Linked DNA regions of Pelodiscus sinensis. The protein of the gene in region 2 binds, or shares a complex with, the protein of the main gene of each other region. Links are inferred from orthologs where the notes say so. Each region holds a gene or a part of one and is shown on either strand. Other genes may lie near its edges.

The links.
Region 1: ODAD1 (region 2) and CLXN share a complex: the UniProt entries of both Homo sapiens proteins name them as parts of the outer dynein arm-docking complex. The link is inferred for Pelodiscus sinensis from reciprocal best matches to the Homo sapiens genes ODAD1 and CLXN.
Region 3: ODAD1 (region 2) and ODAD4 share a complex: the UniProt entries of both Homo sapiens proteins name them as parts of the outer dynein arm-docking complex. The link is inferred for Pelodiscus sinensis from reciprocal best matches to the Homo sapiens genes ODAD1 and ODAD4.

The regions. Positions count from the first base shown.
Region 1 is NC_134712.1:213,648,264-213,652,004, reverse strand, and holds the start of CLXN (calaxin), read right to left. Parts: upstream 2,404-3,741; 5' UTR 2,066-2,403; coding exon 2,008-2,065; intron 1-2,007. UniProt on the Homo sapiens protein: Component of the outer dynein arm-docking complex (ODA-DC) that mediates outer dynein arms (ODA) binding onto the doublet microtubule. Seems to regulate the assembly of both ODAs and their axonemal docking complex onto ciliary microtubules.
Region 2 is NW_027465849.1:3,918,026-3,921,766, forward strand, and holds the start of ODAD1 (outer dynein arm-docking complex subunit 1), read right to left. Parts: upstream 2,501-3,741; 5' UTR 2,373-2,500; intron 611-2,372; 5' UTR 405-610; intron 1-404. UniProt on the Homo sapiens protein: Component of the outer dynein arm-docking complex (ODA-DC) that mediates outer dynein arms (ODA) binding onto the doublet microtubule. Involved in mediating assembly of both ODAs and their axonemal docking complex onto ciliary microtubules.
Region 3 is NC_134739.1:9,762,381-9,766,121, forward strand, and holds the start of ODAD4 (outer dynein arm-docking complex subunit 4), read right to left. Parts: upstream 2,203-3,741; 5' UTR 2,162-2,202; coding exon 2,048-2,161; intron 1-2,047. UniProt on the Homo sapiens protein: Component of the outer dynein arm-docking complex (ODA-DC) that mediates outer dynein arms (ODA) binding onto the doublet microtubule. Plays an essential role for the assembly of ODA-DC and for the docking of ODA in ciliary axoneme.

The DNA.
Region 1 (3,741 bases), on a different chromosome or scaffold from region 2:
ACAGTAAGACTGATTTCGTGAAGGAACCCACATGGGTTTTCTAAAGGAGCTGTAAGCATTATGAGCGCACTAGTTCCACAACAATGGAGAGCTGCAGGTAAAATCTGGAGGGGTTGGTACCATGGGGAGAGGGGAAGCTGAAGGGGAATTCTTGGTGCCTAGGGGGCTGAATCCATGGGGGCTGCAGAGGAATGCCTGGGGCCATGCTGGGCTTTAGGGGGCTGGATCCATGGGGGCTGCAGAGGAATGCCTGGGGCCATGCTGGGCTTTAGGGGCCTGGATCCGTGGGGGCTGCAGAGGAATGCCTGGGGCCATGCTGGGCTTTAGGGGGCTGGATCCATGGGGGCTGCAGAGGAATGCCTGGGGCCATGCTGGGCTTTAGGGGCCTGGATCCGTGGGGGCTGCAGAAGAATGCCTGGGGCCATGCTGGGCTTTAGGGGGCTGGATCCATGGGGGCTGCAGAGGAATGCCTGGGGCAATGCTGGGCTTTAGGGGCCTGGATCCGTGGGGGCTGCAGAGGAATGCCTGGGGCCATGCTGGGCTTTAGGGGCCTGGATCCGTGGGGGCTGCAGAGGAATGCCTGGGGCCATGCTGGGCTTTAGGGGGCTGGATCCGTGGGGGCTGCAGAGAAATGCCTGGGGCCATGCTGGGCTTTAGGGGCCTGGATCCATGGGGGCTGCAGAGGAATGCCTGGGGCCATGCTGGGCTTTAGGGGGCTGGATCCATGGGGCCTGCAGAGGAATGCCTGGGGCCATGCTGGGCTTTAAGGGCCTGGATCCGTGGGGCCTGCAGAGGAATGCCTGGGGCCATGCTGGGCTTTAGGGGCCTGGATCCATGGGGGCTGCAGAGGAATGCCTGGGGCCATGCTGGGCTTTAAGGGCCTGGATCCGTGGGGCCTGCAGAGGAATGCCTGGGGCCATGCTGGGCTTTAGGGGGCTGGATCCATGGGGCCTGCAGAGGAATGCCTGGGGCCATGCTGGGCTTTAGGGGGCTGGATCCATGGGGCCTGCAGAGGAATGCCTGGGGCCATGCTGGGCTTTAGGGGGCTGGATCCATGGGGCCTGCAGAGGAATGCCTGGGGCCATGCTGGGCTTTAAGGGCCTGGATCCGTGGGGCCTGCAGAGGAATGCCTGGGGCCATGCTGGGCTTTAGGGGGCTGGATCCGTGGGGGCTGCAGAGAAATGCCTGGGGCCATGCTGGGCTTTAGGGGCCTGGATCCATGGGGGCTGCAGAGGAATGCCTGGGGCCATGCTGGGCTTTAGGGGGCTGGATCCATGGGGCCTGCAGAGGAATGCCTGGGGCCATGCTGGGCTTTAGGGGGCTGGATCCATGGGGCCTGCAGAGGAATGCCTGGGGCCATGCTGGGCTTTAAGGGCCTGGATCCGTGGGGCCTGCAGAGGAATGCCTGGGGCCATGCTGGGCTTTAGGGGCCTGGATCCATGGGGGCTGCAGAGGAATGCCTGGGGCCATGCTGGGCTTTAAGGGCCTGGATCCGTGGGGCCTGCAGAGGAATGCCTGGGGCCATGCTGGGCTTTAGGGGGCTGGATCCATGGGGCCTGCAGAGGAATGCCTGGGGCCATGCTGGGCTTTAGGGGGCTGGATCCATGGGGCCTGCAGAGGAATGCCTGGGGCCATGCTGGGCTTTAGGGGGCTGGATCCATGGGGCCTGCAGAGGAATGCCTGGGGCCATGCTGGGCTTTAAGGGCCTGGATCCGTGGGGGCTGCAGAGGAATGCCTGGGGCCATGCTGGGCTTTAAGGGCCTGGATCCGTGGGGGCTGCAGAGGAATGCCTGGGGCCACGCTAGACACTAGGGGGCTGGATCCATGAGGACGGTGGGGGTGCAGAGGCGGTGCTGGGCGGCGAGGGGGCTGCCCAAAGGCGGGAGGGCGATAGGGACATGCCTGGCGCAGAGGGGGCTGGGAGGACGTGGTTCCTGCTTGGGGCGGGGCTGGGAACCGCTGATGGAGCCCGGGACGCAGCAGGCCTGGGGCCGCCCCGGCACTCACAGTGCTTCGCCGTCCGGCACAGCGACTCCGCGAGCTTCTGCAGCTTCTTCCTGTTCATGCTGCTCTCAAGCCGGCTGTCGCCCCCCTTCTAGGAGCCGCACGCTGTCACCATGGCAACAGAGCACAGGTGATCAGCCAATCACAAAGCCAGAGCCGGGGCCTCTAGCTGCAGGGCGGAAACTCATGAGGTGTCGTTGCCCAGCAACGGATTCGTGCCCAGGTACGGGAAGGGAGTGGGGCCATTTCTCCTCAGAACCCCGTTCGCACCTCCTCAGCTCCCGTGTGCACGGGCCCTCTTGTGGAGAGCGGGACTCCCTTCCATGGCCCTGCTCCTCCACCACAGGCTCGTGCCCACTCCCGCTGAGCCGCCGGGCACCTACTCAGCCTCTCCGGCCTGCCGGGAAACCGCCCCCCCACCCTCCCCCAGCAATGCAGCCGCTCCCCGGCCCGCAAGTGCCGCTTAGAGGCTGTTAACCTGGGGAAGTAAAACTCGCTCATTCCCCTGCAGACCTAGAGTTGCAACTTGCCAGGTGTCCGGTTTTGAACTGGTCAGTCGGGTATTTGAGCTTTCTGTCCCTGAAAAAAATGGAGAAAACACCAGACATATAAATGTTCGGTATTTTCTACTTAAATTTTATCATCATCATGAGTAGCATGCTGCCTGGCTGGAGAGACACTCACACAGTAGAGAGGAGGAGGGAGGGGCTGGGCTGGGGCAGGATGGCATGCCCAGGGCCAGACTCGCCTGTGCACCCTGCCAGGACACTACATGGGATAGGCAGCACCCCAGGATCTGCATGCTCCCAGGCCAGCCCCACTCCCCCTGACTCCCTCCCAGCCAGCCCTACTTCCCAGCAGTCAGTTCCTTCCCCCGCTCTCCCATTGCCAGCCCTGCTCCCCGCAACCCTCTCTTGGCCAGCCTCACTTCCTGCCAGCTGTTCGCCCCCCCCCCCCCCCCGGCCAGCCCCACTCCCCCCGATCCCCTCCTGGCCAGCCCCAATCCCCTGCCGGCCGCCCCCATCTGAGATCAAGTGCATTTTTTTTTAAATTTGGTAACCGTACCTGCAGTTGGGTTGTCTACACTGCACGGTAGGGCAAAATAAGATTGGCTCAAATTGCATTTATTTCCATCTTATTTCAAAATAGCTTATTTCCCCATATTATTTAGAAATAACCCGTTATTGTGAAATGTCCCTTATTCCTTGTGGAATTAGATTTACAGGGATATCAGAATAGCAAATCCGAAATAACAGGCTTCCCGTATCCCAAAATAGCATTGCAGTGTAGACGTAGCCTGAGTTGCAAATCTCTGGGCACTAGGGGTCAGATAGTATAAAACAGTGGTCCCCAACCTTTCAAGGTTGCCGGGCGCCAGGGGGCGGGGCCGTTCGCCCACCGGGCGCCAGGGGGCGGGGACACTTGCACCCCAGGGGCGGCCCCCCCCATAGCCGCATGCCCAGGGGCAGCCCCCCCCATAGTCGCATGCCCGGGGCGGCGCTCCCCCCGCCTAGCGCCGCGCGCCCGGGGCCGGCGCTCCCCCCGCCTAGCGCCGCGCGCCCGGCGCTCCCCCCGCCTAGCGCCGGCGCTCCCCCCGCCTAGCGCCGCGCGCCCGGGGCCAGGCCAGCCCCGAGCACCTGGCGGGCGCCTGGAAATGCCCCCGCGGGCGCCATGGCGCCTGCGGGCACCGTGTTGGGGACCACGGGTATAAAAGTTTTGTTCTAGGCTTGCACCTTT
Region 2 (3,741 bases):
TAGTTTGGGGGGATAGTTCAGGCTCGGGGGGGAGTCTGGGGGGATAGTTTGGGGGGATAGTTCAGGCTTGGGGGAGTCTGGGGGATAGTTTGGGGGGACAGTTCAGGCTCGGGAGGAGTCTGGGGGATAGTTTGGGGGGATAGTTCAGGCTTGGGGGAGTCTGGGGGATAGTTTGGGGGGACAGTTCAGGTTCAGGGGGAGTCTGGGGGGATAGTTCAGGCTCAGGGGGAGTCTGGGGGATAGTTTGGGGGGATAGTTCAGGCTCGGGGGGAGTCTGGGGGATAGTTTGGGGGGATAGTTCAGGCTCGGGGGGAGTCTGGGGGGCAGTTCACGGCTCAGGGGAGATCTGGGGTACAATCTCCTTCCTAACCCAGAGCCTCCCACCCCTGCAGGCAGGGATTTACCTCGCTCTCCAGCAGCCAGTCCGGGTGATGGGGTGGTCAGTGGGCTCGGTGGGGACCCAGTCCCTGCCGGGCACGGGGGGGCACGGGGATCACTCCCGGCCTCTCCTCGCCTGCCAGCATCGCCGCCCTCCCCTCACTGCCCGAGTTGTTGGCAACCGTCTCCAGGAAGCAGAAATCTCTCAGCCAATGGGGGCGAGGATGGAGCCCTGTGGGGGGAGAAAAAGGGGGAACACGTCAGATTAGGAGAAACAAGAAAGCCACACTGGAAAATCCCTTTTATTCCCTCCACCAGCCCCACCTCTCCTTGCCCCCTTGTCCCAACCATTCCCATCCCCACCTTCCCCCAGCACTCCACCCCAATCCCAAACACACCCTTATTTATCCCATCCACCCTCAGCTATGGAGCGGAGGGGAGAGGAGAAGCCAGGGCTCCTGGGTTCTATCTTGGCTCTTGGAGGGATGTGGGGCGCAGTGGTTAGAGCAGGTGGGAGGGCTGGGTGAACAGGAAAGAATTTATTGCCAAGTTAATGAGCTCCCAGGTGCCTATGCAGAAGATGGCAGGTTGGGGTGGAGTCCTGCTGGGATCAGGGCACCCCACTCCACTGTGGGGGATGCCAGGGCGTGGGGGAGGAGCTAAGGGGCAGCAGCAGAGCCTGGGATCATGGGGTAAGGGAGGACCCATGATACTGCCCCAGCAGCTCCATCACAACCATAGGGGGCGCTACTGCTGCTCATTTCACCTGGGCATCACGCTAAGGCTCTGCCCCCGGCTGTCATGGCAACACACCGTCAGGTCACGCCAAAACACGGTCACATCTCGCCGTGGCCCCAGACGCTCCTGCCCCGCCCCCACTGCAGACGGCGATGGCAAACCAAGGCCCAACCATACCTAGGTCCTGACAGGTCGTACCAAAGCCGCACCTCACCCAAGCCCTGTCCAGTCACACCAAGGCCCCAGCAAGTCATGCCAAGGCCCCAGTGAGGCTCCGTCACACCCAGGATTCTCAGATTACACCAAAGCAGATTACACCAAGGCCCCAGGGGCTTTGTCATGCCAAGGCTGCAGCAGGTCACGCCAAGGTCTCAGTGGCTCTGTCATGCCAAGGACCTGGCAGGTCACACCAGACTCAACAGGCCATGCCAAAGTCTCAGTGGCTCTGTCTTGCCAAGGATCTATCAGGTCACTCCAAGGTCCCAACAGGTCCCACCAATGCCCTGCCACATCATGTCAAGGCCCCCACAAATCATGCCTGAGACCTGGCAGGTCACAGCAAGGCCTTGTCATACCAAGGACATGGCAGGTTATGCCAATGCCCCCACAAGTCATGCCAAGGCCTCGTCACACCAACATCCCCACAAGTCACGCCAAGGACATGGCAGGACACGCCAACACCCCCACAAGCCACGCCAAAGCCTCGCCATGTCAATGCCTCCACAAGTCATGCCAAGGACTCCATCAGGTCACACCAAGGCCCCCACATGTCATGCCAAGGCCATGACAGATCACACCAAGGCCGTCACAAGTCCTGCCAAGGACATGGCAGGTCACACTAATGCCCCGCCAAGTCATGCCAAAGACACGGCAGATCATGCCAAGGCCGTCACAAGTCATGCCAAGGACACGGCGGGTCATGCCAAGGTCCCGGCAGGTCACACCAATGCCCCGCCAAGTCATGCCAAGGTCCCGGCAGGTCACACCAATGTGCTGCCAAGTCATGCCAAGGACACTGCAGGTCATACCAAGGTCCCGGCAGGTCACACCAATGCCCCGCCAAGTCATGCCAAGGACACAGCGGGTCATACCAAGGTCCCGGCAGGTCACACCAATGCCCCGCCAAGTCATGCCAAGGACACGGCGGGTCATGCCAGGGACCTGGCAGGTCACACCAAGGGCTTGTCACACCAAGGACACAGCAGGTCACTCCCAGGCCCTGCACCCCCGCTCTGGAGGGTTGGGGGGTGTCTCACCAGCAGGCCAGGGGGCGGGACCAGGACAGGGGGCGGAGCCTGTTGTCCCTCCTTCCTCCAGGCTCCTGAATTAACTCTGAGTAGGGCCTGGCCGTCACTGCGCATGCGCCGGACTAACAGCTCCCTCCTTCCTCCCTTCCCCCTTCCCCCGCCAAGGCATCGCCCGCTGTGCAAACCCCGCCCCTTGCCGCTGCTCCCGCCCCTAGCCGACTTCCCGCGCATGCGCGGTCCCTCCCTGCTCTGCTGGGGGGAATTGTAATGGGGAGTGGATGGAGGGCTGGGAGCAGGTGCACGGCTGGGGCTGGATGCATTGAGGCACGTGCACAAAACACGCACACAGCTGGGGGTCCGGCTGCAATGGTGGGGAGTGCACAGCTGGGGGGCCGGCTGCAATGGTGGGGAGTGCACGGTGGGGGGCCGGCTGCAATGGTGGGGAGTGCACAGCTGGGGGGCCGGCTGCAATGGTGGGGAGTGCACAGCTGGGGGGCCGGCTGCAATGGTGGGGAGTGCACGGTGGGGGTCCGGCTGCAATGGTGGGGAGTGCATGGTGGGGGGCCGGCTGCAATGGTGGGGAGTGCACGGTGGGGGTCCGGCTGCAATGGTGGGGAGTGCACAGCTGGGGGGCCGGCTGCAATGGTGGGGAGTGCACGGTGGGGAGCCGGGGCAGGTGCACTGGCAGGAAGCGAGGGGCAAAGGGAAGCAAGGGGGCAGGCATACGGGAAGCAGGATGCTAAGGACGGGAACAGCTGCACGAATGGCGGGCTCAGTGGAGGGTGGGGGCTGCGTGACTCATAGAGCTCTTGCTCACAGCCCCACACACCACGCGGCACCCCAGCACCGGAAACCACCAAACCTTGTCACCCCACCCAACCACCCGTGTTTGTCCCATCACAGCCGGCGCTGCGGCCTGTTGCCAGGGCCCGGCGCCTGATTGGGCAGGGGTGTTCCGGGCACAGGATGTCGTGATGGGAAGATTGTCAGACACGGGCCTGCTTTCCTATTGCCCTACACACCCCATCCCAGCAGCAAGGCGAGGCAAGACGGCAGCATCCATAGATTGGACCCCTGCTCTGAGCTCTCACCCCATCTCCCCTCCCAGGGCTGGGGAATAGAACCCAGAAGTCCTGCCCCCCCGGCCCCTGCTCCTGCTCCTGCTCCTGCTGTAACCACTAGACCACACTTCCCTCCCAGAGTTAGGAGAGAGCCCAGGAGTCCTGGCTCCCATTGCCTTGCTTTAACCACTAGCCCCCACTCCCCTCGCAGAGCTAGCAGAGAACCCAGGAGTCCCGGCTCCCATTGCCTTGCTCTAACCACTAGCCCCCACTCCCCTCGCAGAGCTAGCAGAGAACCCAGGAGTCCTGGCTCCCAT
Region 3 (3,741 bases), on a different chromosome or scaffold from region 2:
AAGTGTCACCCCCCCGGCCTCTGTGCACCACACCCCCCTCCACAAGTGTCACCCCCCCGCCTCTGTGCACCACACCCCCCTCCACAAGTGTCACCCCCCCCGCCTCTCTGCACCACACCCCCTCCACAAGTGTCACCCCCCCGGCCTCTGTGCACCACACCCCCCTCCACAAGTGTCACCCCCCCGGCCTCTGTGCACCACACCCCCCTCCTCAAGTGTCACCCCCCCCGGCCTCTGTGCACCACACCCCCCTCCACAAGTGTCACCCCCCCGCCTCTGTGCACCACACCCCCCTCCACAAGTGTCACCCCCCCGGCCTCTGTGCACCACACCCCCCTCCTCAAGTGTCACCCCCCCCGCCTCTGTGCACCACACCCCCCTCCACAAGTGTCACCCCCCCGCTTCTGTGCACCACACCCCCCTCCACAAGTGTCACCCCCCCGCTTCTGTGCACCACACCCCCCTCCACAAGTGTCACCCCCCCGCCTCTGTGCACCACACCCCCCTCCACAAGTGTCACCCCCCCGGCCTCTGTGCACCACACCCCCCTCCACAAGTGTCACCCCCCCGGCCTCTGTGCACCACACCCCCCTCCACAAGTGTCACCCCCCCGCCTCTGTGCACCACACCCCCCTCCACAAGTGTCACCCCCCCCGCCTCTGTGCACCACACCCCCCTCCACAAGTGTCACCCCCCCGGCCTCTGTGCACCACACCCCCCTCCACAAGTGTCACCCCCCCCGCCTCTGTGCACCACACCCCCCTCCACAAGTGTCACCCCCCCCGGCCTCTGTGCACCACACCCCCCTCCACAAGTGTCACCCCCCCGCCTCTGTGCACCACACCCCCTCCACAAGTGTCACCCCCCCGGCCTCTGTGCACCACACCCCCCTCCACAAGTGTCACCCCCCCGCCTCTCTGCACCACACCCCCTCCACAAGTGTCACCCCCCCGCCTCTGTGCACCACACCCCCCTCCACAAGTGTCACCCCCCCGGCCTCTGTGCACCACACCCCCCTCCACAAGTGTCACCCCCCCGCCTCTCTGCACCACACCCCCTCCACAAGTGTCACCCCCCCGCCTCTGTGCACCACACCCCCCTTCACAAGTGTCACCCCCCCGGCCTCTGTGCACCACACCCCCTCCACAAGTGTCAACCCCCCCGCTTCTGTGCACCACACCCCCCTCCACAAGTGTCACCCCCCCGGCCTCTGTGCACCACACCCCCCTCCACAAGTGTCACCCCCCCGGCCTCTGTGCACCACACCCCCCTCCACAAGTGTCACCCCCCCGCCTCTCTGCACCACACCCCCTCCACAAGTGTCACCCCCCCGCCTCTGTGCACCACACCCCCCTTCACAAGTGTCACCCCCCCGGCCTCTGTGCACCACACCCCCTCCACAAGTGTCACCCCCCCGCTTCTGTGCACCACACCCCCCTCCACAAGTGTCACCCCCCCGGCCTCTGTGCACCACACCCCCCTCCACAAGTGTCACCCCCCCGGCCTCTGTGCACCACACCCCCCTCCACAAGTGTCACCCCCCCGGCCTCTGTGCACCACACCCCCTCCACAAGTGTCACCCCCCCGCTTCTGTGCACCACACCCCCCTCCACAAGTGTCAACCCCCCCGCTTCTGTGCACCACACCCCCCTTCACAAGTGTCACCCCCCCCCGCCTCTGTGCACCACACCCCCCTCCACAAGTGTCACCCCCCCGCCTCTGTGCACCACACCCCCCTCCACAAGTGTCACCCCCCCCGGCCTCTGTGCACCACACCCCCCTCCACAAGTGTCACCCCCCCGCCTCTGTGCACCACACCCCCCTCCACAAGTGTCACCCCCCCCGGCCTCTGTGCACCACACCCCCCTCCACAAGTGTCACCCCCCCCCGCCTCTGTGCACCACACCCCCCTCCACAAGTGTCACCCCCCCCGGCCTCTGTGCACCATGCCCCCCCCCCCCGCTTCCTGCCCCGCATCAGCATCGCCAGCCACTGGGGGGGGCCGGGGGGCGCGCTCATGAATATTCATAAGGACGGAGCCGCTCACGTTGGTGAAGCAGACCAGCGCCTTGCCGTGCTCCCCCCGCCGGCTGAGCAGCGTCCCCTCGGCCATGAGGCTGGGGAAGGTCCCGCTCTGCCCCTCGCCCTCCGCGTCCTCCATCGGCCCGGGCCACTGCTTGACATCCGCTGCCTAGCAACCGCCGCCGGACTTCCGGGGGCGGGACCGGCCCCGCCCCGCGCGTGGCCACGCCCCCAGACAGCTTCTCGCGCAGGACCCGACCTGGCAGGCGCCCGGAGCTTCTGCCCCCTCCCCCGCCAGCCCTCTGCCCACCAGCTCCCCATTGCCTGGTGCTTTCCCCCTGCCAGCCTCTGATACCCCCCACTCCCCTCCCCCCCCTTATCTCCTTCCAGCCCCCTGACACTCCCCACTCCCCTCCCCCCATTGCTCCCCATTGCCTGGTGCTTTCCCCCTGCCAGCCTCTGATACCCCCCACTCCCCTCCCCCCCCTTATCTCCTTCCAGCCCCCTGGCACTCCCCACTCACCTCCCCCCCCATTGCTCCCCATTGCCTGGTGCTTTCCCCCCTGCCAGCCTCTGATACCCCCCCACTCCTCTCCCCTCCCCTCTCTCCTTCCAACCCCCTGACACTCCCCACTCACCTCCCCCCCCATTGCTCCCCATTGCCTGGTGCTTTCCCCCTGCCAGCCTCTGATACCCCCCCACTCCCCTCCCCCCCCTTATCTCCTTCCAGCCCCCTGACACTCCCCACTCCCCTCCCCCCCATTGCTCCCCATTGCCTGGTGCTTTCCCCCTGCCAGCCTCTGATACCCCCCCACTCCTCTCCCCTCCCCTCTCTCCTTCCAACCCCCTGACACTCCCCACTCACCTCCCCCCCATTGCTCCCCATTGCCTGGTGCTTTACCCCCTGCCAGCCTCTGATACCCCCCCACTCCTCTCCCCTCCCTTATCTCCTTCCAGCCCCCTGACACTCCCCACTCCCCTCCCCCCATTGCTCCCCATTGCCTGGTGCTTTCCCCCTGCCAGCCTCTGATACCCCCCACTCCCCTCCCCCCCCCCATCTCCTTCCAGCCCCCTGACACTCCCCACTCCCCTCCCCCCATTGCTCCCCATTGCCTGGTGCTTTCCCCCTGCCAGCCTCTGATACCCCCCACTCCCCTCCCCCCCCTTATCTCCTTCCAGCCCCCTGGCACTCCCCACTCACCTCCCCCCCCATTGCTCCCCATTGCCTGGTGCTTTCCCCCTGCCAGCCTCTGATACCCCCCCACTCCCCTCCCCCCCCTTATCTCCTTCCAGCCCCCTGACACTCCCCACTCACCTCCCCCCCCATTGCTCCCCATTGCCTGGTGCTTTCCCCCTGCCAGCCTCTGATACCCCCCACTCCCCTCCCCCCCCCATCTCCTTCCAGCCCCCTGACACTCCCCACTCCCCTCCCCCCATTGCTCCCCATTGCCTGGTGCTTTCCCCCTGCCAGCCTCTGATACCCCCCACTCCCCTCCCCCCCCTTATCTCCTTCCAGCCCCCTGGCACTCCCCACTCACCTCCCCCCCCATTGCTCCCCATTGCCTGGTGCTTTCCCCCTGCCAGCCTCTGATACCCCCCACTCCCCTCCCCCCCCCCATCTCCTTCCAGCCCCCTGACACTCCCCACTCCCCTCCCCCCATTGCTCCCCATTGCCTGGTGCTTTCCCCCTGCCAGCCTCTGATACCCCCCCCACTCCCC